2 linked regions of the Arabidopsis thaliana genome follow. The protein of the gene in region 1 interacts with the protein of each later gene in a pairwise test. Each region holds a gene or a part of one and is shown in the gene's direction. Other genes may lie near its edges. The genes, in order: LBD13 and GSK1.

What was found.
Region 2: the proteins of LBD13 (region 1) and GSK1 interact in a two-hybrid assay, tested with the Arabidopsis thaliana proteins (one large-scale study listed by BioGRID).

What each region holds. Positions count from the first base shown.
Region 1 is NC_003071.7:12,929,895-12,940,593, reverse strand, and holds LBD13 (LOB domain-containing protein 13), read left to right. Parts: upstream 1-7,765; 5' UTR 7,766-8,053; coding exon of another isoform or gene 8,054-8,067; 5' UTR 8,068-8,140; coding exon 8,141-8,437; intron 8,438-8,775; coding exon 8,776-9,288; 3' UTR 9,289-9,422; downstream 9,423-10,699. Other genes in the region: CHAL (allergen-like protein), read left to right, coding at 1-17; SIP4 (SOS3-interacting protein 4), read left to right, coding at 2,022-3,329; AT2G30350 (Excinuclease ABC, C subunit, N-terminal), read left to right, coding at 4,852-4,991, 5,185-5,323, 5,446-5,579, 5,664-6,357.
Region 2 is NC_003070.9:1,941,047-1,954,161, forward strand, and holds GSK1 (GSK3/SHAGGY-like protein kinase 1), read left to right. Parts: upstream 1-5,699; 5' UTR 5,700-5,813; coding exon 5,814-5,918; intron 5,919-7,076; coding exon 7,077-7,169; intron 7,170-7,382; coding exon 7,383-7,442; intron 7,443-7,527; coding exon 7,528-7,800; intron 7,801-7,889; coding exon 7,890-7,964; intron 7,965-8,038; coding exon 8,039-8,095; intron 8,096-8,268; coding exon 8,269-8,409; intron 8,410-8,520; coding exon 8,521-8,571; intron 8,572-8,678; coding exon 8,679-8,774; intron 8,775-8,891; coding exon 8,892-8,975; intron 8,976-9,102; coding exon 9,103-9,204; intron 9,205-9,284; coding exon 9,285-9,371; 3' UTR 9,372-9,804; downstream 9,805-13,115. Other genes in the region: AT1G06380 (Ribosomal protein L1p/L10e family), read left to right, coding at 4,078-4,842; ARA-2 (Ras-related small GTP-binding family protein), read right to left, coding at 10,043-10,472, 11,420-11,640. UniProt on the Arabidopsis thaliana protein: Phosphorylates BSK1, BSK3, BSK5, BSK6, BSK8 and BSK11 in vitro. May mediate extracellular signals to regulate transcription in differentiating cells.

The sequences.
Region 1 (10,699 bases):
AGTTGTACATGCCATGATCTTTTATAATATATATACTCACATATATACATTATATATATGAATTATATGCATGTTCGTAGTTATATCTTGCCTCTACTCCAAATATTTATTATACATTGACATGTTGCTAGGACAACCTCAACGTGAAACTTTTGCTGATAAATTGATTGATGATGCTCGTATAGACGATATGACGTTCTTAGCATATGATTTCGTATATGGTGACATAATTCATGAATAATATCAACATTTGGTGTCAAAAGGAAACATATTTCTTGTCTTCTTCTTCAACGTACTTGCTTATAATGAACAAAAAATAAAAAAACGTACTCGCTTTCTAATAAGTATCACATAGGTTTAGGCTCATAAACATATGGACTAACATAAATAAACCAAAAGCCCAATAACATTACTCTTAGCATATACATATAAGTAAACTATTAACATCTGTCTGCGGGACTCGTTGATTTCATTTAAATTCTGTAGTCTCAGCTCGTTCAATTTAATCTATTCGTACACACTGATAATATTCAAGAAAACATATGCTAACGTATAACGTATTACGTATCCAAATACACCTTACACCACTCACACATAGCCCATATATAAAAGTTTGAAGGATTTAAAGTCGCAGACTCGCGGTCATTTTTTTTCTTTAAAGTCGCAGTCATTGACTGACTGATTCTTCTTTCTTATTGAAAGGTTTTTTATGTAAAGACGAAAGTTTAATCAGGATGTGAATATGGTACGGCCCATGTTCTTTATTCCTTTTTTTTTTTTTGGTGCAAAGTTCTTTCTTATTCTATGTTAGAAAAATAATCAAATTACCGACGCGAGCAAAGGTTATTATTTCCTGGCTATTAGTCTATAACTGATAAATAATTAGTCAATCAGATCAAACAATAGAGAAATAATTAGTCTGCAATCAGCGATTATTAAAAAATAAAATAAAATAGAAACATATCTCAGCACCGATTTTTCAACAGCCGGCCCACGATCCAGAACCGTCCAGCTTGAAGCCGGCGCCGCGTCGACTTGTTCCACCGTTCGGATATTGCCACGTGTGTGAGAGACACCTGCCATTACCTCGTGGAACATGTTTTGTTAGTATAAGTTACTAACCAAGTCGCTATCTTCAATTCTTCATTACCTAAGAGTTGAATAAAAAAACAACCATATACGATGAGACACGCAAATAACTGATATACGAAACAATTATTTATTGATGTACATTCTTCTAACTATAATACTACAAGATTCTGAATAGTTTTAGATGTAAAAAGTACGAGAAGAGTTATGATCAGAGTAAGTTAAGTGATAAGATCATGACACGTAGGCAGAGGAAATAAAGTAGAAACTATCGACAACATAATAATTGAGTGAGTACAAAAACCACGTAATAATTAGGTGTACACTGTAGTCTGTAGATCGATTGTACAAAATGAAAAAACTATATGATTTAAGGAACTAGATATACATATGCATCGACTCAAGAACAGTTGCTTTATGTGAAGACTATCAATTACATTATCGGCTAAATTTGGCTTCATGTGTTGAATAGATGGATTGTGTGCTCAGGTAGTTGTGTCAGTTAATTATAACAGTAAACCTTCACTGCTTCACATATATAAAATTTGGGTTAAAAAAACTTTAACATTTTATTTTTTTAATTGACAACAAACAAATTCTGTAACGGTTACATATAATAGTGCTTCAGTTAAACTCCTTTTTTAGGCAACTCTAATTCCTTTATACCCTTAATCCATTATTATTCTATCGAACTTATCTTTTTAAAAGCTTCCGCGTTACGCCATCACTTCTCCACCATTTAAATACCTAAACCACTTTCTTTCAAATTTCTTATTCCATAAAAAGTAAATTCACAACAAAACCAAAAAAAAAAAAAGAGAAGAAGAATTAGCTTACGTGTTCATCACATCTGCATTACGCGCAAACGAAACAGATTCAAATTCTCCGGCGAAGTTTTCTTATTCATCAATCAATCTCTGGATTCATCAATCATGCCAGAGATCGAGATTGCCGCCGGCAGCGGCGACAACAACGACGCCTTATTCGGTAAATATGAGCTCGGAAAGCTTCTCGGATGCGGCGCATTCGCCAAAGTCTTCCACGCACGTGATCGTCGTACCGGCCAAAGCGTCGCCGTGAAAATCCTCAACAAGAAAAAACTCCTCACAAATCCAGCTCTAGCCAACAACATCAAACGCGAGATCTCAATCATGAGAAGATTATCTCATCCAAACATCGTCAAGCTCCACGAAGTAATGGCGACAAAATCAAAGATCTTCTTCGCAATGGAGTTTGTTAAAGGAGGAGAACTATTCAACAAAATCTCAAAACATGGACGTCTTAGCGAAGATTTAAGCCGGAGATATTTCCAGCAACTGATCTCCGCCGTTGGTTATTGCCACGCTCGCGGTGTTTACCACCGCGATCTCAAACCAGAGAATCTATTAATAGACGAAAACGGAAACTTAAAAGTTTCCGATTTCGGTCTAAGCGCGTTAACGGATCAGATCCGACCCGATGGGTTGTTACATACCTTGTGTGGTACTCCGGCGTACGTTGCGCCGGAGATTCTATCTAAAAAAGGATATGAAGGTGCTAAAGTTGATGTATGGTCTTGTGGAATCGTCTTGTTCGTTCTCGTCGCCGGTTATTTACCGTTTAACGATCCGAATGTGATGAATATGTATAAGAAGATTTATAAAGGAGAGTATCGTTTTCCTCGTTGGATGTCTCCAGATCTGAAACGATTCGTTTCTCGTCTTTTAGATATTAATCCTGAGACTAGAATCACCATTGATGAGATTTTGAAAGATCCTTGGTTTGTTAGAGGAGGTTTTAAACAGATCAAGTTCCACGATGACGAGATCGAAGATCAGAAAGTGGAATCGTCACTAGAAGCTGTGAAGAGTTTAAACGCGTTTGATTTGATTTCTTACTCGTCGGGATTGGATTTGTCGGGATTGTTTGCTGGTTGTAGTAATTCGAGTGGTGAATCGGAGAGGTTTTTATCGGAAAAGTCGCCGGAGATGTTGGCGGAGGAAGTGGAGGGGTTTGCGAGAGAGGAGAATCTGAGGATGAAGAAGAAGAAGGAGGAAGAGTATGGGTTTGAGATGGAGGGGCAAAATGGGAAATTTGGTATCGGGATTTGTATTTCGCGGTTGAATGATTTGCTTGTGGTGGTGGAGGCACGGCGGAGAGGTGGTGATGGTGATTGTTATAAGGAGATGTGGAATGGTAAACTCAGGGTTCAACTTATTCGCGTTTGCGATCAGACGTCGTCAACAAACGCGGCTATTTAAAAGAACGCTATGAAGTTTTCTACCGTGCTTTCAATTTTAAAACGCCAATCGCGTTTCGTTGGTTGGATTTGGTTTCTACTACTTTTGTTTCGGAATTAAAAACAGAGAAAAAATAATAAAAATTAATGTATGTATTTAAATACTGTACCAAATTGTAGGTATCTATTTTGTGCTTTTTGATCAATGTGTTACTATGTACAACAACAAGTCTAAAATTGCATTTGTAGATACTTCACTCTTTTGTATAATGTAGAAAATGTTCTTCTATTTATAGTTTGGATTTTCCAATTTTACACATTTGTACATAACTACTTTTTAAAATCAACCATGCAAATTGTATTAAGTTAAAGTGCATGATAACCAAATCAGATTAATAACCAATGAATTGAAAATAAAAAGTAGATAAATTACTAAAATAAAATAATCTCTAAATCGCATAAACTCATCTAAACTCTCAAAAATCCATACATTACACATTTTTTTTTTTTTCAAAAAGGCTTTCAATTCTATACATTTTTCTGCTTATCAAATATGGCTTCTTCACTTTAATATTTATGTATAGAATTGAAAGCATTTTTGAAAGAAAAACTTTGTGTAATGTATTATTGAACAAATGAAATGATTGAAATGGGAGTTCCACATCCAGTGAAGAAAAAGCATTAAAAAGTATGTATAGAATCAGGGAACTTCAAAAATTGAAATCTGCAGCTTTATAAAAAGAAAAGCTATTATTGTCTACTTGATTGGATATTACAACTCAAAACGAGTGAAGGTTAAGGAATCATTATCATTATTAAAGCATCATCATAAGCACCAGCCTTTTGTTATTCTTCTCATCATTTGTTTGGCCAATTTAAAATTTTAATTAATATCATCTCACCATAGTTTCTGCCCACCTTTTGGTTTTAGGTGCAAATGGAAAAACTCTGGCAAATTAGGTTGTTTGGTGTGAATTAGGAAAGTAGAATGCTTATTGAATATTCTTGACTATATCTAAACTCTCTTTATTCACTTGGGTGATTTCCTCATAAAAATATTATTGTACCAAACTCTCTGAAATCAAAGTTTACTATATAGCTAAAATAAAAACCAAAAACTCTACTAAACCAAAGTTAAGAATAAATTCTTTATTAGAGACAAACTCAAAATTGAAAACCATCATTTATTGTATCTGAAAAGTAAAAAGAAAAAGAGGATATAATATGAGGAGAGATTATTTGAAAGCTGAAATTTTAGTTGCGGTAAAATTTGACATAAGTGAGCAAATTTTATAAGCTCTAAAATCAATAGGAGACCTATCACGGTATCACTATCATGATGGGTAACAATGTCATGTGAACCAAGTAAAACAAAATACAGTATAGGAAATGAATTATAAAAAATTGGGCCATTATAAAATTGGGTCATTGAATACAGTGGGCCTTAATCATACATTTCGGCCCATTCTCATCCTTAAGAGATAAAACGGATTTTTTAGTGTAATAATCTGTCGTCTTCAACGGTCGAATTGAATCCAAGAGATATGAGAGAGAAAAGGGGAAATCGGAAAGCCCTAGATCCCGTCGGTGAGGATGGAGTCACCGGAAAAGATGGAAAAGGCTTCTTCGCCTGTTATCTCTTGACCTCTCTTAGCCCTCGTCATAAGGGTCAAACCTATATCGGGTACTTGTTTCTCTCATCTCTGATTTTGGAATTGAAGATTCTGTTGGATCAAATTCGATTGAGAAAGGATTTACATTTTCTGGGTTTATCTGATTGAATACTTAAATTTGATCAAATAGGAGATTTTGAGTGTTTAATAATCAGACTATGAGATGTTTAGTGATTGATTGCATAAACTGGGTTTGGTTGGTAGGTTCACTGTAAACCCGAGGCGGAGAATAAGGCAGCACAATGGAGAGATCACTAGTGGTGCTTGGAGAACAAAGAAGAAACGTCCATGGGAAATGGTTCTCTGTATCTATGGTTTCCCCACCAATGTCTCTGCCCTTCAGGTCCTTTTGCTACCCTAAAGCAAAAGATTCCTTGCCAAAAGATTCTGTTTTTACTTCTTTTGTTCTCCAGTTGTGGCCTCGCTCTTGAATGTTTTGCTAACGTAAAAAAAACCTTTTTGCAGTTTGAATGGGCTTGGCAGCATCCGAGAGAATCGGTTGCAGTTAGAGAAGCTGCTGCGGCTTTCAAATCCTTCTCTGGGGTTGCTAGTAAGATCAAGCTTGTATATACAATGTTAAATCTTCCAGCTTGGAATAGGTAAGGAAGCTTCTTGTTGTTGTTGCTATGCTTTGGTATCCATTTTCTTATAACTTATATGTCTCTTTGTGTCTTGTTGATCAGTTTGAACCTCACGGTTAATTATTTCTCGTCAAAGTATGCACACCACGGTGGTAAATCTCCAAGTTTACCTTTACATATGAAAGTTCAAGTTTGTGCTATGGAGGATCTTCAGTATTTCACAAAGGTAGATGACAGTTCTCAACCCGAAGATGAAGAGAGTCCCGAGGTTAATGAAGAGGATGATGATGATGATGATGATGATAGTAGCAACCTAAGCCAGCCTGGGAATTCAAATACAAGCTCATCGGATGACCGGCATTTTGAAAAAGCGAAAGAACCTGTAACTGTATTTGATGAAGAAGACAGATTAGCAAATTTCAGTGGTTTTGGCTTATTAGATGAAGAAGAGACTGTTGAAGATGAAGTATCACATATCACTGTTGGATCCATTAGAGCTACTGAGAAAGAACCCGAGACTGTATTCAATGACAGATTAGCAAGTTTCACTTGTTTTGGCTTAGTAGAGATTGTTGAAGATGAAGTATCACATGGAACTATAGGATCCACTGAAGCTATGGAGAAAGAGTGTAGGAAAAGAAGGAACCATATCACCTCAACGACGACTGAGGTTGATGTAGAGGTGATAGATCTGATGACTCCATCACCAAGCTGCAGAGCTGGATCATCTATGAAGAGACGAAGAGTTTCTGAGTTTATAGATTTGACTATGTCTCCTAATTTCATAGAGTCGTAGAAGTAATACACGAGAATTTGTGTGAAAATCAAAATCAACTTTGTTGTAATTTTCTTTTATATCTAATAAAAGATTTCAAACCTTTTGAATCTGAGTCTCTCATCTTCTTCCAAGAGCCTATTCATGAATCGTTTTTTCGTAATTTCTAACTTACGTCGCAAAACTTAGGTTCTTAAACGACACTTAATTTAAAACGGGGGAGTATGTATTTTGTGTTAGTGTATATCTGTTGTCACTTTATGATTTCAAAAGTATAATGAATATTGTTGTTGATTAAGAAAGAAAAATCCATATTGTTAGTCTCCAAATCTCCATTATTGCGTAATCTAAAGTTACTTAGTGGTGCTTTCTAGTTTCTAGTTGCACCAATTAAGATTCACCTCAACTTTTGGTTCTCAACAGAATTGACACAACTTCTGCGAATACATGTTATAACAAGGCAACAAACCCTTTCGTAATAATACTATTTCATAATTATTTTAGTTCCAAGATATATGTCCACATGAACATCAACATTTACACTTGAGAAAAGGAAAATTCGTTTACCGATTATCGAAGAGTGTGAAATTGATGAGATCGGCAGTGTCCACATGTTCTCGATGTTGATTGTTGACTTTATATTTTTGTTCAGTCATGCATATCAAAACGTGAGCGTACTTGACACTAGAGAAAAAGAAAATTAGCACGAACAATAGTTTTGCAATCATGGTCAATGATTTAAACTATAAACTAGTTAAGCATTTAATTTGGGGTTTTAGATGTAAACATCCTTCACGTGCAATCACATGTCCAATAGTATGCATTTCTTTCTTCTTTTGTAACCATTGTCTTTTGTATATATATCGTGTTAGATTTTTTCTACAGCTTGACATATTTCACATTTAGTAGCAACTAACACGTGAAGAGGTTGACCAAAGATAAAACAACGAAAAAAGTTCGTTGTCGCCCATTTTAACATATAAAATGAGTAATATTTATAGCACCAAAATTAGTCTTTTTAAGGATTAAAATTTATTTTCTACGGGTACTATTGCTAGTTGCTACGTTTAAACCATAATCTGATTGAGTCTGATCAAATCGGTATGGTTCATCGTGATTGTAGAAACCTTGTGCTTGCTCAAATACAAGGACTGGTACAATTGCGCAATGTTTTGTTTAAGTTTTTTTTTTTAATCTTCAACTAACTTTCTTTAACCACCTACTCTAATGTTTATATATATTATGAATGTTTTGATCGTGGGTCGACCTTATTTAAATTAAATCACCAAAAAAGCTATATTATTATGGTCTTCTTCAACCACATATCTTTTAGTATCGATTGTTGTATTTTTTAGTAACAACATGCAATATACAATAACAAAAGTTACAAAACTTACATATATAAACCATTAAGCTACAAAATTTTGGTCCGATACTACTTATGATCTGTTCCAAATCTCGAGCTTACTCATAACTCGAATATTGATAATTAATACCTTAACGTACAAGAGCAGGACAGTAAGACTTCTTTAAACATATAGTATACAATATAATTAAGTATAGAAGTCTATAGATTTTCCCTTTTAAATAAAGAAAGATCATTTAATTCACCCTAATGACTCTCCTTATTAAAGAAACTCTTCTTCTTCTTCCTTGCTTCTCTTCCTCCTCCTCCTCCATTGATACTCTAAAATAAACTTATAAATAGCATGCGTGAATGTCCCGAGAAAGGTAAAACTAAATCAACATATATACATCTATTTACGATCTTTTTGATTGATAAATCAAATCGGTGGTGGTGAAAATGATTGGAAACAACAGGGAAGGATTTGGAGAGTACTACGAGACCGTCAAGAAGATAAAGAAAGATCCAGCCTTCGAGACAACGACGGATCATGCCGTGATGGGAATCAGGAGACATGTGGCGGTGCCTCCGGGGACAACGTTGAACACCGTAACACCATGCGCCGCTTGTAAGCTCCTCCGCCGTCGTTGTGCGGAGGAGTGTCCTTTCTCGCCTTACTTCTCGCCGCATGAACCTCACAAGTTCGCTGCCGTTCATAAAGTCTTTGGTGCAAGCAACGTCTCCAAGATGCTTCTGGTACACATATTTTCTACATTAATGAATATTTATTTTCTTTTCTTAGTTAAGGTTTCTTAATTTGATTACTCTTTTGATATCGTATTTGATTAATCTGAATATATAGTTGAACGGATCTACCATTTTTGATATTTGACTCTTTCCAAATATATTCAAAACATATATTTATCCCATTTGTTATAGTCGAGGTGGTTTATCTAACTAGTATAGGTAGAAATTCATTATCCTAAGATGCACATACATACTAAGATTGAGTATTGGTAAGTTATTTACTTTTCGTACATAATATTTGATTGAGCTATATGTATATTAACTTATGGAATAAGAAAATGTTGTAGGAAGTGGGAGAGAGCCAAAGAGGAGACGCAGCAAATAGTTTAGTATACGAAGCAAACCTAAGACTTAGAGATCCAATCTACGGTTGCATGGGAGCAATCTCAGCTCTTCAACACCACATTCAGTCTCTTCAATCCGAACTCACGACCGTCCGTACGGAAATCCTACGCCACAAATACCAAGAAGCCACCACCATCACTTCTCTCCAAAACAACTTCAACAGCACTACAACAACTTCATCAGTGAGTTGTGATCAGCATGCTCTCGCCTCGGCGATTCTCCTCCCACCACCACCGCCACCACCTCCTACTCCACGACCACCAAGGTTGTTGTCCTCTCAGCCAGCTCCACCGCCTACGCCACCCGTTTCTTTGCCATCTCCGTCCATGGTTGTGTCGTCCTCTTCATCTTCTAATTCATCTGCCACCAATTCTATGTATAATCCTCCTCCATCTTCGACGGCTGGATATAGCAATTCTCTGTCCAGTGATAATAATGTTCATTACTTTGATTAAATCAGAATTCTGTGTTCCTTAATTTTTTTAAAATACTATTATAGCCCTTATTATAAGCTACGAGATTGAATGGTGATCCATGTTAAAGATAGGGTTTTCAACTTTTGATTTATTTTATTTTTCATATTGATTAATGGGTTCCATTACCATACTAACGTACGTAAATACAATGGTAAAGAATCTTAGTATCATGAGGGTATTACTCATGACTCATATGACAATTTTAGTAACCAACACGAAGTTGAAAAAACATTTACACAAAATAACACAATTCCACATTAAATCAGAATCAGAAATCTAACATATTGTTAGTCCTGAAAATTGAGAAATTCTACTAATGAAATTATGAGCTTATAATTATTAAATTACATGAGAATTAACATTAAATGGAGGCGTTGACTAAACATATAAATTTGGCAACGAGCATTCCCACGTACCTCTAATTGTCATTAATATATAAATATTAAATATAGTTTTTAATTAAAGGTATTAATTGATCAATTAATTAATCATAACCCAAACAGAATCTATTTATATCCCATAACAGAGTTCCAGAGTCACCACATGACGCAATTACATACATATAGTACTAGTATTTCTTGATTACACAGTGTCCCACAAGCTCTTAATAATTTACATTAATGTTTCTTAATCTCAACCATTACCTACAGGCTACAGCTCATGTTTTGCTTGTTAACATACACAATGTATTCTATATACATGTATGCAGTATGTATATATTTTCTTAGATTTTTATAAATACTATTTTGTAATTCTGCTATATAAAAGTATAATATATGATATATCCATCAATGTATAACTAAAATTTGTTACGAAAAAAATCTTTTAAAAAACACTAGAAGTTTTTTTTTTAAAAAGACTTAACAATAAAACTTTGTAGATTTTAGTGAGATTCACTGAAGATCAAACGATTTTCAGTTTTTTTTAAAAGAAATTAGTAAAAGTTTGGTACTGAGAAAATGTAGCTCTTAAAAAAAAAGAGAGAGGATTGGATTCACCATTCACAAAATGGTAAAAATACTAAAACTAAAGTGAAAGAGAGAAAGCAATATTTTCTTCTTAACACATCTAATTGCACAAATACATGAAACAACAATTATTAATCTTCTTAACTCTAAACAACAATTTTATCTTTTAAAATATGATTTTTAAGATTATCAAACTTTGATACAACTAGTTAATAACTCTACTTCACATTGCTCGTTAGCGAATCTACTCACAAATATTCAGTTTTGGGCAGCAAAATTCAGTAACATTCAATTTAAATTCATCAAGAGGGAGGGCAATAAGATAACACATGATTTGGCGAAATTTGGTTGTAATTCATCTTGTTTTTATTCTGATTCTAGAACTCTTCCTAGTTGGCTTCAAAAACATCACTGTAACAACT
Region 2 (13,115 bases), on another chromosome or scaffold:
GGAGTAAAGTTTTATCGGCATCCATCGACAAGAACATTGATTTTGGTAACTGTTTGGTTAAGTCCTCCACAATTCCTCCAGTTGCTTTGCTTGGATTCATCCTCAATTTTGTAGTTAAATGTTAAAAGTTAAAATAAAAAAGGTCGTATATATATCGGAATCAAAAGAAAAGGGAAAAAAGAAAAAAACTTTATAGGAAACTAGTGATATTTTCAAAAAGGGCAACTTCCTTTGGTGTCACATGGAAATGCACTTGAATTCTGTCTGTTGTGGTTGTGTCTTACAATGCTTCTTTAAAGCTTCTATATATAGTATAGTAATATTAGAGATTGGAGACACGAAAAAGTAGAACCACAAGTATTCTTAATTAAAAAGGAACATTTTCCATATATACTTATAGTAACTAAAGAAATATATATAACTAATATTATATATGAAATAAATACAACACTGTTAGTAAACACATTATATCTAATTTTAATTACCTCTAATTATGAAAATTGTATAAGATTGTTTTATTAGTGTCAAAAGAAGTTAATTTTCAATACAATGTTAAGAGTTCTCGTCACTCGTTTTATTAGTGTAGTAACCATGATGGAATCTAGAAAACAATGTTGTTGTGGGGACAGGATTTGAACCTGTGTGGCCGCAGGTTATGAGTCTTGCTAACTACCAAACTGCCCTACGCTCACCGCATTGAAAAATAATTGAATGCGCATCTATATAAAAAGATTCGTTTTACGGCATTCATAATGCTTAGCGTTCTACAGATCCGATAATATCGATTAAACTTATAATATTCAACGTAACAAACTATAAACTAGTTTTTTTTTTTTTTTTTTGGGACAAAACAAACTATAAACTAGTTAAAATTAAATTTCCAGCAATATGTTAATCTACAAGAAACTAGTCAATCCCACAAAAAATACGATCTGCAGGACTGTTGTTTTCGATATATCTGATGGATCCACAGTTATAATGTCACATCACTTAGCGTTGTTAAATCGTATTGTATTGCAAGTACACAGTTTTGATTGATCATAAATTCATAATTAAACATTGAAGAATGGTATTTCATATTGCTAATGATGAAATCTCTATAGCAGTAGCATGAAATATAAAAACGTACGTGGGTTAATATATAAATATTGTCAATTAGTATTAAGTTCAAACTCACAAAACAGTATATACGGTATGTAAAAACCCCGTATAGGAATCCATATATAGGTGAGACCTAGCTACATTGAAACAACAAATCTTTTAACATTGATTGTACGTAACCAGAGAAATTTAATGTGGTAGCTACCTTTTTTTTTTTTTTTTTTTGTGGTAGATAGACAACTTAATTTCCGTGTGGGCATCAATCCCTAAGGAAAACCAGACATATATGAGAATCAACAAACGTTCCTTGATCCAAAACATGATTTATTTTTTCTTGGGTTCTGATGTTGAAAGTTGTTGAGATTTGATCATGAAACTTCGCGGGGCTATAAATTAAAAGCTCTTAACTCGAACATATGATCTAAGAGAGTAAAACAGATTCAAAATAAAACTCAAATAGAATAATTGAGAATTTTTGACATTTTCGTTGAGTTCGTTTTTTTAACTTGTGTACCGACCTGATCAACTAGTGCATTCATGTGGTTCAGACAGAAACACCATAACATCAAGGTGTTTTTTGGTAACAGGAAAAAAAAAAAAAAAGCTACACGCGAAGTTAGACCGAGTCAGTATTTTTTAGCATAGATGACTAGTGGGGATTGATTTGATGTATCTATAAACCTTGAAATGTGTGTGGAAAAAACTTTTGACCTGTTTCATTGCCAACAAAACAGATTTTAGTCTACTAAACGAATAACATCAGCGTTGGAAAAAAATGGTGGTCCTGCTTTTCAACTTGCCTCTTGGAAGGAATAGTGGATCATAAAACCTCTGAGTTTTGTTGCTTCCGATGCAAACAATAATATGTGACGCGGTCGTGCTGGCCAATTTCTAGCTAACTTTGATGCCAATCCTAAAAGGTCCATTAAGAATTGGTCTGACTCATCAAAATCTCCTAATGTCTTCGCTGTTTCAAAATAATAAGAAGAAGAATCCTTAAGAATCGCATAGAAGCAAAAACTGTGACTCAGGGGCGTGATCCATTTACCTTGGTGTGTAGTCGAGAAATCGCATTGGAATGTTACTATGGAGAGTGGAATAATAATAATAAGGAGTCGAATGGCTTGGCATGAGAGAGAGAATGCTCTTTACTCTCCCTTTGTATCCTTTTTTCCGATAAGTCTGTACATCGCATCCTTGGTTCGTGTCCATTGAGAAAACAAGAATTCCTTTTAGCACAATTAGAAAGAAAGAAAAAGAGAGTAACTCATAAACTAGAGTGTTTAGTTTTTTAACTTGATAGAATAAACTCATGTGTAGTGCCTCGGGATATTGGTAGCAGGCAAAATGAAGACTGGAAGTCTTAGTTTAGGAGACCACTTGATGATATGGTTATTTCCAGGGACTTGCTTCTCTTTAATGATTGATGATAAATCAGATGCTTCCATTTGAGCAAATGTATACCCAGAGAATATCAAAGCTATGGGTAACACAGGCAGCACAAACCTGTCATTCATAATCAGAGTAAACGACATGGAAAACATAATTCACAATGAAAAGATGTTCCCATGTGTAGTTTACATTTATTCAAGTACATCCATATTACCTGAATTACTTATGGCAGAGTATGCTGTATATATCTGCTAAGATCCATTGGATAAGAGATAAAAGCTTTTGATTTGTAGACTTGATAATTCCCGCAATGAAAAAAAGTGTGAAAGTGAAAAGCATGACAGGAAATAGTACCAGTGCCATGAGCGAGTTCCGTAATAGTCTCCACCGGATGAGAGGAAGCTTCAGAAAATTGAGAGGCACAATGACCCATGAGCAGCATATCATACGGTCCAACAGACAGGTGAAACCGAGGACCAAAGACCTAACACAGCAGAAGCTAGTAAGCGCAATGAAATGTTCAATACAAAACATTAAAACTAACATTAAAGAATACAGCTGCAGAGTTAAAATGCAAAAACGAATAAAGAGGAAACAGAGGGATCTGGGATCTCTAACTCACTTCCGGTTACATCAACCTCTCAACATAGTAGGAACTAGGAACTATCAACATAGTGTAATGGTGAGCTGGCTTCACTTTGTTCGTCATTAACCTAGGCAAATCTTATTGGAATTGCAGTAACATCAGATTTTGGAGAAGCCTATATTCAAAATCAATATTAACAGGTTCTAATTTTATCTTCTTAGTAGACCAAAAAAGCTTTTACATCATCTGCAAAAGTAACAACACATTGTTAATACCACAATTCAAGATTTCTTGTAAAATAATGAAGAAGTATACTGACCATTACGTAGGAAGTAGTATCAAGGCCCGTCACATGAAGAACTTTATACAATGGGACGCAATGTCAAATGACCGCACGGCGCACCTATCCATTATGATCAACCTGAGAAACACTCAGCAGCATAGAATTGACACAGGTTCAATCACTCACCACAAAATCAGAAAATTAAAGCGATTGCAATTTATCTTTATTTTGGAAACATTACCAGAATACGGTGCCAAGGGATTGAGATAATTGAATAAGAATATCTGCCTCGGAGATCGAATTCGCTCTGATTTAGAAGAGCGTCACTACACGAATCAGCGTTCTTCCGCTTCCTTGTTGCCATTGAAGAAGACGCAGCCTACAATGAGTTGAAGAGGTACAGAGGAAAGCTCTTAATTAACCGGAAACGGGAAGCAGCGTCGATTTTCGCCGGCAGTCGGGGAAGCGCGAAGAGTTTCGCCGGCGGTCAGAGAAAACGATTGAGCAGATGACAATTTTACCCCCAGAAAAAAGGATAAAGTGGCGCATCATTAATAAAACGCATATAATTTTTGAGTTTTACAAAAAAAAAAATCGAATAAAATGTCGAAAGAAGAAAAAAAAAAGAAAAAAATCGTAAACCCTATAATTTTTGCTCAGAACCCTAATTCCGCAAACGTAACCTGTGTTCATTGCGCCGTCTTCTCACCGGAGAATGAGTACTACTACTACTACGGCTGCACTTCCGCAGCGACACCAGTCGAAGGTTGACCCGCAGAACGTTAACAGAGCCGTGAAGTCTCTGCTAAAATGGTGGGACTCCAAATCCAAGACCGAGAACTCTGAATCACTCGAGAACGACGGTTTCGTCTATCTAATCGTGACACTGAAGAGAATCCCTCAGTTGGATCGTACTAACCCCTTGATGATCCCTCTTCCTCATCCTCTCATCGATCTGGTCGCCGAAGATCCGCCGGAGCTCTGTTTGATCATCGACGACAAACACAAGAACAAAATCACAAAGGAAGCGGCTTTGAAGAAGATCGAAGCAGAGAAGATTCCAATCACCACAGTTATTAAAGTCTCCAAATTGAAATCCGATTTACGCAAATTAGAGGAGGAGAAGCGATTCGAGTTGTATTTCGCGGAGAGGAGGCTAATGCCGATGTTGCCGAAGCTGTTGGGGAAAGAGTTTGTTAAGAAGAATAAGACTCCGATTGCGATTAACTTAAGGCATGGTAGTTGGAAAGAGCAGATCGAAAAAGCTTGTGAATCAGCTTTGTTCTTCGTTGGTACAGGTACTTGCAGTGTTGTTAAAGTAGCGAAGTTGTCAATGGGAAGGAACGAGATTGCAGAGAATGTTGTAGCGGCCATGAATGGGATTGGTGATTTAGTTCCTGGTAGATGGAAGAATGTTAAATTGTTTCATCTCAAGTTACTTGAGAGCTTGGCATTGCCTGTTTATCAATCAGTTGCTTGATGAATTTGTTTAAAGAAGCTGATGGATGATCTGGTTCCAGTGAGTCACAAGTTTTGGTTTGTTTTCTTAGTGGAATTTGTGATGCTGTAATGTTTAAGATAATGCCTAGACTGAACAAAACTGTCTAGATTGATTAGAGTGAAACAGATGGTTTTAATACAAATTTCCATGAGTGGGTCTTTTGATTGATTTTACTGGTATCTTCTTTTGTTATGCAGATATATAGTCACATGAATTCTCTAAAAAAGATGGTTTTTGGTGATGTATTGGAAAGAATATTAGTTTTCCTACTCTATTGAATTACTCTCCACAAAGGTAGATTCCATTGATCTTTCTTTGTTTGACAATTGTTCTTGTTCGATATCACAGTAACGGTTATATATCTTTTCACTTTCCAATCCCTTTGACTCAGAGTCTTATTTTTGTATAGTTTACGTTCCCCACTACTGCTTGTTAATCTTACATTTTCGTAAACTAGTCTCATCGTCATTTTTTTTAGCCCTTTGCAACTTAAATTTTATCTTTGTATGAATGCTAACTGTAATTCTTTTGTTGGTTAGTGTAATGAAAAAGAATCTATCGTTAACTATTGTCTTACAAAGGCAACACTTCAGGCTAAAGGGACAAAGAAAAGTCTCTTTAAGTTAAGCTTAATATCTAAATTGGGAAATATGATTGGAGTATTCATTCATTTGATACCATTATTATTCAGTTAGAATATTTAATGGAGTTCTAACTCAACTTAGTAATTTAGTTATCATTAAATGCTAAGGAAGTGTTTATCAGAATTTTTCAGTGCTTTATCAATTAAAAAGTAGTTTTCTCATTGGACCGTTACATTCACGCGCTCTAGTCTTCCGTGGGTCCTCCATTGTCTTTGAACCATTTCTGAAATTTAGAAGCAAAGAGAGAGGAAAAATTAGACTTTACTCATTGTTCAGTGGTTGAGAGAGAAAAGAGTAAAAAAGCACATGGCCTCATTACCATTGGGGCCTCAGCCTCATGCTCTTGCTCCGCCGCTGCAGCTTCACGACGGCGACGCTTTGAAACGCCGTCCTGAATTGGATTCTGATAAGGTTTATTTCTCCCCGTCTCTTTGTTTTGTGTGTTACTGTTACCGTCTGTGTTTGGTAAACAGTGCATTTGAAATTATCGTTTGGTGGCTGTTCTAGATCTACTCCGATCTAGCTCCTACTTTCTTTGTTCTATGTCTTAGTTCAGTCGAATCGATCTATATTCTCGTGCTCTTGTGTTTGTTCGTCGCTTGTATTGATCTGAGCTCACCGGAGAGTTTTTTTGTTTCTTTCTCCGACGAGGCGTTTTGATAGGAGACTGTGATTTTTACTTCATTTGTATGCATGCAGTAGCTAGATTACTCTTGGTATCTCCCAGCTACTACTTCAACCTTCTCTACCGGAGATCTAAGTAGCAGTAATCTTCGAATCTTGTTGAAAAATTTAGTGTAAAATAATTTGAGATAGTTTCTTGCGCTTGGGAAACTTACATTTTCAGTAAACTAGGTTGAATATTTCCCCTTCATATTTGTTTTTGGATATTTCGATTGTTTGTTTCAACACTGTTCACTTTCAAGTACAACAATTTGCTTGTTTGGATATTATTTATTTCAACACTGTTCATTCTACAAAGTACAGTTTACTTGTAGATCTCTGAATTCACTCTCGGTAGGTTTCGGAGTATTCCTTTAGTTATGGTTTTCTTGGCCCATTGCTTCTCTGTCTCTGTCTCTCTCTCTTTTCTATTTGCCATCGACATTTATTCTGAATTTTGTCTTATGGCTTGTCCTTCACTCTGGCAGAACTTCTTCCATTGACTTGTATTTTGTATCTATGATTTTTTTTTTTGTTCTATATCTAATACCCATAAATTGTTTGACGTCTAAAATCACTACATTTTTGAACTTCTATCACCATTGTTTACCTCTGGTTAACCCATGCTTTACTTTATTTTTCTTATTCTTTCTGCATCTTGCTTGAGTGCTTCTATTGGCTTGACAACTGGTTAGTTGGTACATTTTATATGTGTTAGCTTCACGTTTTCAATATAAGTTAATTCCGACCACTTGTATAATAGCAATAACAGCATTCTCATACAGTCATACCTATCCTGAGGTTTGTTGAAATAATCGGATGCAGTAAATGCTTGCCATCTCTATTCCACCTTGTAGTTGATCAAAATAGTTTAATGTCTATACTAATATGTGAGGTGGATTGCAGGAAATGTCTGCAGCTGTTATTGAGGGAAATGACGCTGTTACTGGTCATATCATTTCCACTACTATTGGAGGCAAAAACGGCGAACCAAAGCAGGTTTGATGCTAATGTTTGCAAAATCTCTTAGATAACTAACTAGTAGTTAACACTTACGGTTATAGCACAGTACCATGTGTAAGGTTTCTGCGGGGTCTGGGTTATTCATTTCGCATCAAATGCTCCAGCAAGTGTTACTTTCCCATTAAAACCCTTTTTCAAGTCAAATTAATTCATCTCTCCCTTACATGATCTTCATTCTGTCCCCTACAGACCATTAGTTACATGGCTGAGCGGGTTGTTGGAACAGGTTCATTCGGGATTGTTTTTCAGGTATTTTGTGCTTCTCTGTACTAGCGGTTCCAGGACATAAATTCTCTTCTTTCTTTCTGATCAAGTCTGAAATTTACGATTTTAGGCGAAATGCTTGGAAACTGGAGAATCAGTAGCCATTAAAAAGGTCTTGCAAGATCGACGCTATAAAAACCGTGAGTTGCAACTAATGCGACCAATGGATCACCCAAATGTCATCTCCTTGAAGCACTGTTTCTTCTCTACAACGAGTAGAGATGAGCTCTTCCTCAACCTTGTTATGGAGTATGTACCTGAGACTTTATACCGGGTTTTGAGGCACTATACTAGTTCTAATCAGAGGATGCCAATTTTCTATGTCAAGCTTTACACATATCAAGTATGTACTGTTATTTGCAGTTAGTTCTCACAAATATTATAATTTATTAGAATTTACTCTGAAACTGATTTGAAATATCTATTGTGCAGATCTTTAGAGGTTTGGCTTACATCCATACTGTTCCCGGTGTTTGCCACAGAGATGTGAAACCACAAAATCTCTTGGTACGTTATCTAGCATGCCATGTGGTTTGTAATCTTGACTATTTCTGGATCTCACTTTCTGGTGCATACTGTAGGTTGATCCCTTGACCCATCAGGTTAAGCTGTGTGATTTTGGAAGTGCAAAAGTATTGGTAAGGGTGTTATCTTTTCATTATCTCACCTTTTTTGTGTGTTTTCGGCTTGGTTATGTATCTACGCATCTAGTTCACTGAGCTACCATATAAGTGTGAGTTATACCATTAAGTGCGAGCAGCATGTTCTCTGTTTTGGTAACCCTTTTAAATTTTTGGTAATTCACTATTAGGTCAAAGGTGAACCAAACATATCATATATCTGCTCCCGTTATTATCGTGCTCCAGAACTGATCTTTGGCGCCACAGAGTATACAGCATCCATAGATATATGGTCTGCTGGTTGTGTACTGGCAGAGCTTCTTCTGGGCCAGGTTAGTGTGGATTTTTATGCGTTAATTACCTTGTTAAATAAAGAGTCTCTGCAAAATGCAAAAAGTGCGCACCCAATGTTATATTAAGCCAGTCTCTCTCTCTCTCTACAGCCGTTATTTCCAGGAGAAAATTCAGTTGATCAGCTTGTGGAGATCATAAAGGTGAAGTCTCCTTTATTAGACTAATGGATGTGCTCTTTTTTGTCTTTGGTATTAGACTAGAATCTAGTAAATATGTTACCATAAGTACACTTGCTACCTTGTTTTAGGTTCTTGGTACTCCAACTCGTGAAGAAATTCGATGTATGAACCCGAACTACACAGATTTTAGGTTCCCACAAATCAAAGCTCACCCTTGGCACAAGGTAGTTCATCTCACCTTTTGTTCCTGGTTAAGCAATTACTGAACTCATTACCTACACAGTATACATTGAAGCGATTCATTTATAGCATCAACCATATACTGTACCCTTGACCTCCAGGTTTTTCATAAACGGATGCCTCCAGAAGCAATAGACCTTGCATCTCGGCTTCTTCAATATTCACCAAGTCTACGCTGCACTGCGGTCAGTATCTCCCTCTTTTTTTTATAATCGAAAGTAGTCGTCAGTGATAACTCTTTTTGAATCTTCCAAGTGTTGGATAAAGCTAAGATTCATTTTAACATTTGTCTTGTTCTCTGTCTATTTTTAGCTCGAAGCATGTGCTCATCCGTTTTTCAATGAACTCCGAGAGCCAAACGCCCGTCTTCCAAATGGTCGTCCATTACCGCCATTGTTCAATTTCAAACAAGAGGTAAAAATCAATAGCAAAGGATGATGTTTCTTTAGTGGAACTTCAACATAACCCAATTTGTTCTTTGGATGTGGAAACAGTTAGGTGGAGCTTCAATGGAGCTAATCAACAGGCTAATACCTGAGCATGTGAGACGACAAATGAGCACAGGATTACAAAACAGTTAAAAACTGTGCATGTCTGAAGAGAAAGAGGAGAAAAGCAGGTTTACTACTTTTATTTGATAGTTGACAGGTTCAACAGTATATTAACCACGACTATTATCAGCTTCTATACCCGTAGTAAAGTCATATTCAGCTTTTTGAGAAATCAGATGCTGATAATTGCGTTTTTTTTTTTTTTATTCCGTAGCCTGGAGAGTGGAGAGAGACACTGTTCCTCGTGTATTTTTGTATATGTTTTTGTCTGTAAAACAATTCTGACAGATACGTAGAGACAAAAGAAAAACGAGGTGATAATATTAAACCATGTCATGTCCAAAAGATTAGCTACAGATGTTTTTTTGTTTTCTTCTCTCAACACAAAAGACTAGAGGGATAAATAATCATCCTCTTAAATTAAAAGTCGCTAGATCTATTTTCGAAATGTTACGTAGGTGATGATTTGCATTTCTTCAGTTTATTACAAGTTTACAAATTACAAGTGGTGGGAGTGTTGAAAACAAATTACCAATCATGTACTTAAATTTTAAAGGACCTTACAGGCCAAAGTTACCAAAGCATACACATGATCTTAAAAGTAATCGTTTCTTATTTCTTTTTTGATTGCAAGACCCAAAGAGATTATCATTTGTTGTCTCACCCTAACCAAATCAAGCCAAATCTACAATCCCCCCACTCTAGTTAGAGCAGCAACCCATTCTCTTAAGAACCGATCCGTCTTCTTTAACGTTTATCGTCTCTCCTTTTCCCGGTAAATCAGCCGACTCTCCTCCTCCATCAACACTTCTTTTGCTCACTATCTTGTGGATCTGAGTGAGCACTTCCGTGAATGCGTTTTCAACATTGGTTGCGTCTAGAGCTGAAGTCTCCATGAAATAGAGGGATTCTCTCTCAGCAAAGGCTTTAGCCTCTTCTGTTTTGACTGCCACCAAGTGACGCAGATCGCACTTGTTCCCTATAAGCATCACCACTATGTTTGGGTCTGTGTGTCCTCTTAGTTCCCTTAGCCATCTTGCTGCATTCTCAAATGTTGCGTGCCTTGTCACGTCGTAAATAAGCAAAGCACCAACAGCTCCTCTGTAATAAGCGCTTGTGATTGCTCGGTATCTATCATAGCATAAACAAAACCAGCATTTTCTCAGATGTTGTTAACAAAGATATAATAACAACTACAATAATAAGTTCAGTAACATTACAGATTAAGTACACAAAGTTAGACTATTTTCGATAACCATATTACATGGTATCCATCTACCAAATGGTTACTTTGTAAAGTTACAATCGCAGAGTTAATGAAGAATTCTGCTGCAAAATTCAAAATGTTATCTATGTCTAGTGCAAGACAAGACAGAGGAGATGAAAGAAATGTTGTTTTCAACAAGTATATTGGGTTCAGAAGTTCATCACAGACGAGCTCAGACAAATATCAATGTGTGAAACGGATGGAACAGCACAATACTAGTATAGTAACCGAGGTTTAGATAACAGATATCTACAAACAACATTTTAACAACGGGAATTGACCTAGACAGGAGAGGATTGAATAAGCTAATCAAGTAGACCCATATATGAGGGATACAGATCTATGAACAAGAATCTTACAAACACAGAAGCTATGCCACAAAAGAAAACCATTAGTAGCCCAAATGTGAATAAAACCTAAAAGTATATTCCGAGTAAACTGCAGCCTGCGAGCGATATTCAGCACAATTGAGATTCTGAACCATATTGAAAGTTGCTCAAGTCTAAGAGATTTACAAATTCAGACACAACCAGTTTCGTTCCGAAAACCAGAAAACTCTAGTTCTGCCACAAATAGTCGTAACTAGTAAACCAACAAGGAAAAATGAACAAGACACTTTGAACTTGTAATATCCAAATCAGGCTACAGATTCAGATACATAAATCAAACACCATGAATTCATAAACAGCGAATCCAACAAGAACTCAACAACGAAATCGAGCCAAAAAGGATGGTTTTTTAAAACCTTATCCTAAGGATTTTCAATAAAGTAAGCAGGAAAAAAAAAGCAAGAGAGGAAACGTAATCTGACCTCTCTTGACCAGCAGTATCCCAAATCTGAGCTTTGACGACTTTGCCTTCGACTTTAGTGGTTTTGGTAGCGAACTCAACACCAATAGTAGACTTGGATTCGAGATTGAACTCGTTCTTGGTGAACCGAGAGAGCAGATTCGATTTGCCGACACCAGAGTCGCCGATCAACACGAGCTTGAAGAGGTAATCGTACTCTTCATCGGCTCTGTAACCAGCCATCAGATGAGAGATCGAATTTTGGGATTAGGGAATTGGGTTTTACTGTGTTGCTTGCTGCTGTATTATTTGATGATAATGAATTAATGATTCAGATGATGACGATGAAAGCTTTTGTCGGGTTGGCTCTAAATCACCCTTTTTTCTTCTTCTTTTTGTTTTTGAACAGAAAAAGTTTAAATTTTTAAAAAGATGATTCCGCTTAATTAGTTGCACATTTTAGGAAATCTTCTCCATATATTGTTAACAACTTCCACTCACAACATAATCATTTTTAACTTAATACAGTTTTCTAATTACAATTTAACAAGATTAACAATAAACAGTATACACCTACTTTTCTAAAATTTATCTTCAGGATGAAGATACTATTTACTTTCATTTTCTTAAGTTTGGGTTTCAATGAATGTAGCTACTACTCCTTAGCTAGCAACCTGGAGAGTTTATAAAATTAGAGATATTTGTATTGATTTTTAAAAATATCAAGTTTACTTTTTTATTAGATTATAAATTTTTGAAATTATGTATTACTCAGAAACTTTCTACGGTTCACATAACACCTTACTATAATGTTGCTCCATCCGAACAATCGTGTTACTTATGCAACATACACAAAGAATAGCTAAAACATTTCTGGTCCATCTCTCTACTAAGGAAAATCTTGAAAGCCCAATAATTCAATAACATCATCCTAATTAGACTCATGTATATATATTTTGTTTTCTCAATATATTTATTCACATATAGGTACAATTTTAAAAATCACAACAACTACAATCTGACAACACAAAAATCTTATCGAGGTTGTAACTGCAAGCCTACAACTAATCAATCATTAAAGACAATATTAGACAATGTGCAACCAACAATTAATTTGACCAACTAGTTTCATACGGAGTAGTCTTTGTTTTTTTATAGACCAACATTAACCATAAATAAATCTATTCCCATATGCTTCCATTTTTAATTAATTCCTGTTCCACTAACGAATACCATCCAAAACAAAAACGTATGACACTTGATCACTCTGGTTCACCACACGCTCAAAAGCGTCCCCTGTTTCGACACGTGTCAAACGGTCCAAAACGAGGTCCTAGACACGTTTGGTAAGTCACTTAGCTATTTTAGCCCCAAAAGTGGTCCACACATCGCATCGCACACGGCATCACGCGTCCTCACGTTCTTTCTCCATATCACGTGTCCGATCCTCCACGCGCTTCTCCTCGCGCGTAACGGACTCATTGGTGTACTCGTGCCAGCTGGCAATAGTGCGAGTCCGGCTGGCTAACTAGCCTTATCCAAATTTTCTAAACGGAAGGGAAGTGCTATTACCACTGAGGCTGTCACCTTCTTTCTACGTCACGGACAAATCCAATTGGTCCTCAAGTACGTTGTTTAATGACATGTACTTGTGGACAGCGAAGCAAAGCAACGACTCGGTGACGGTCGTTCGATTCCTTTTAAATGTAACCAGAGGA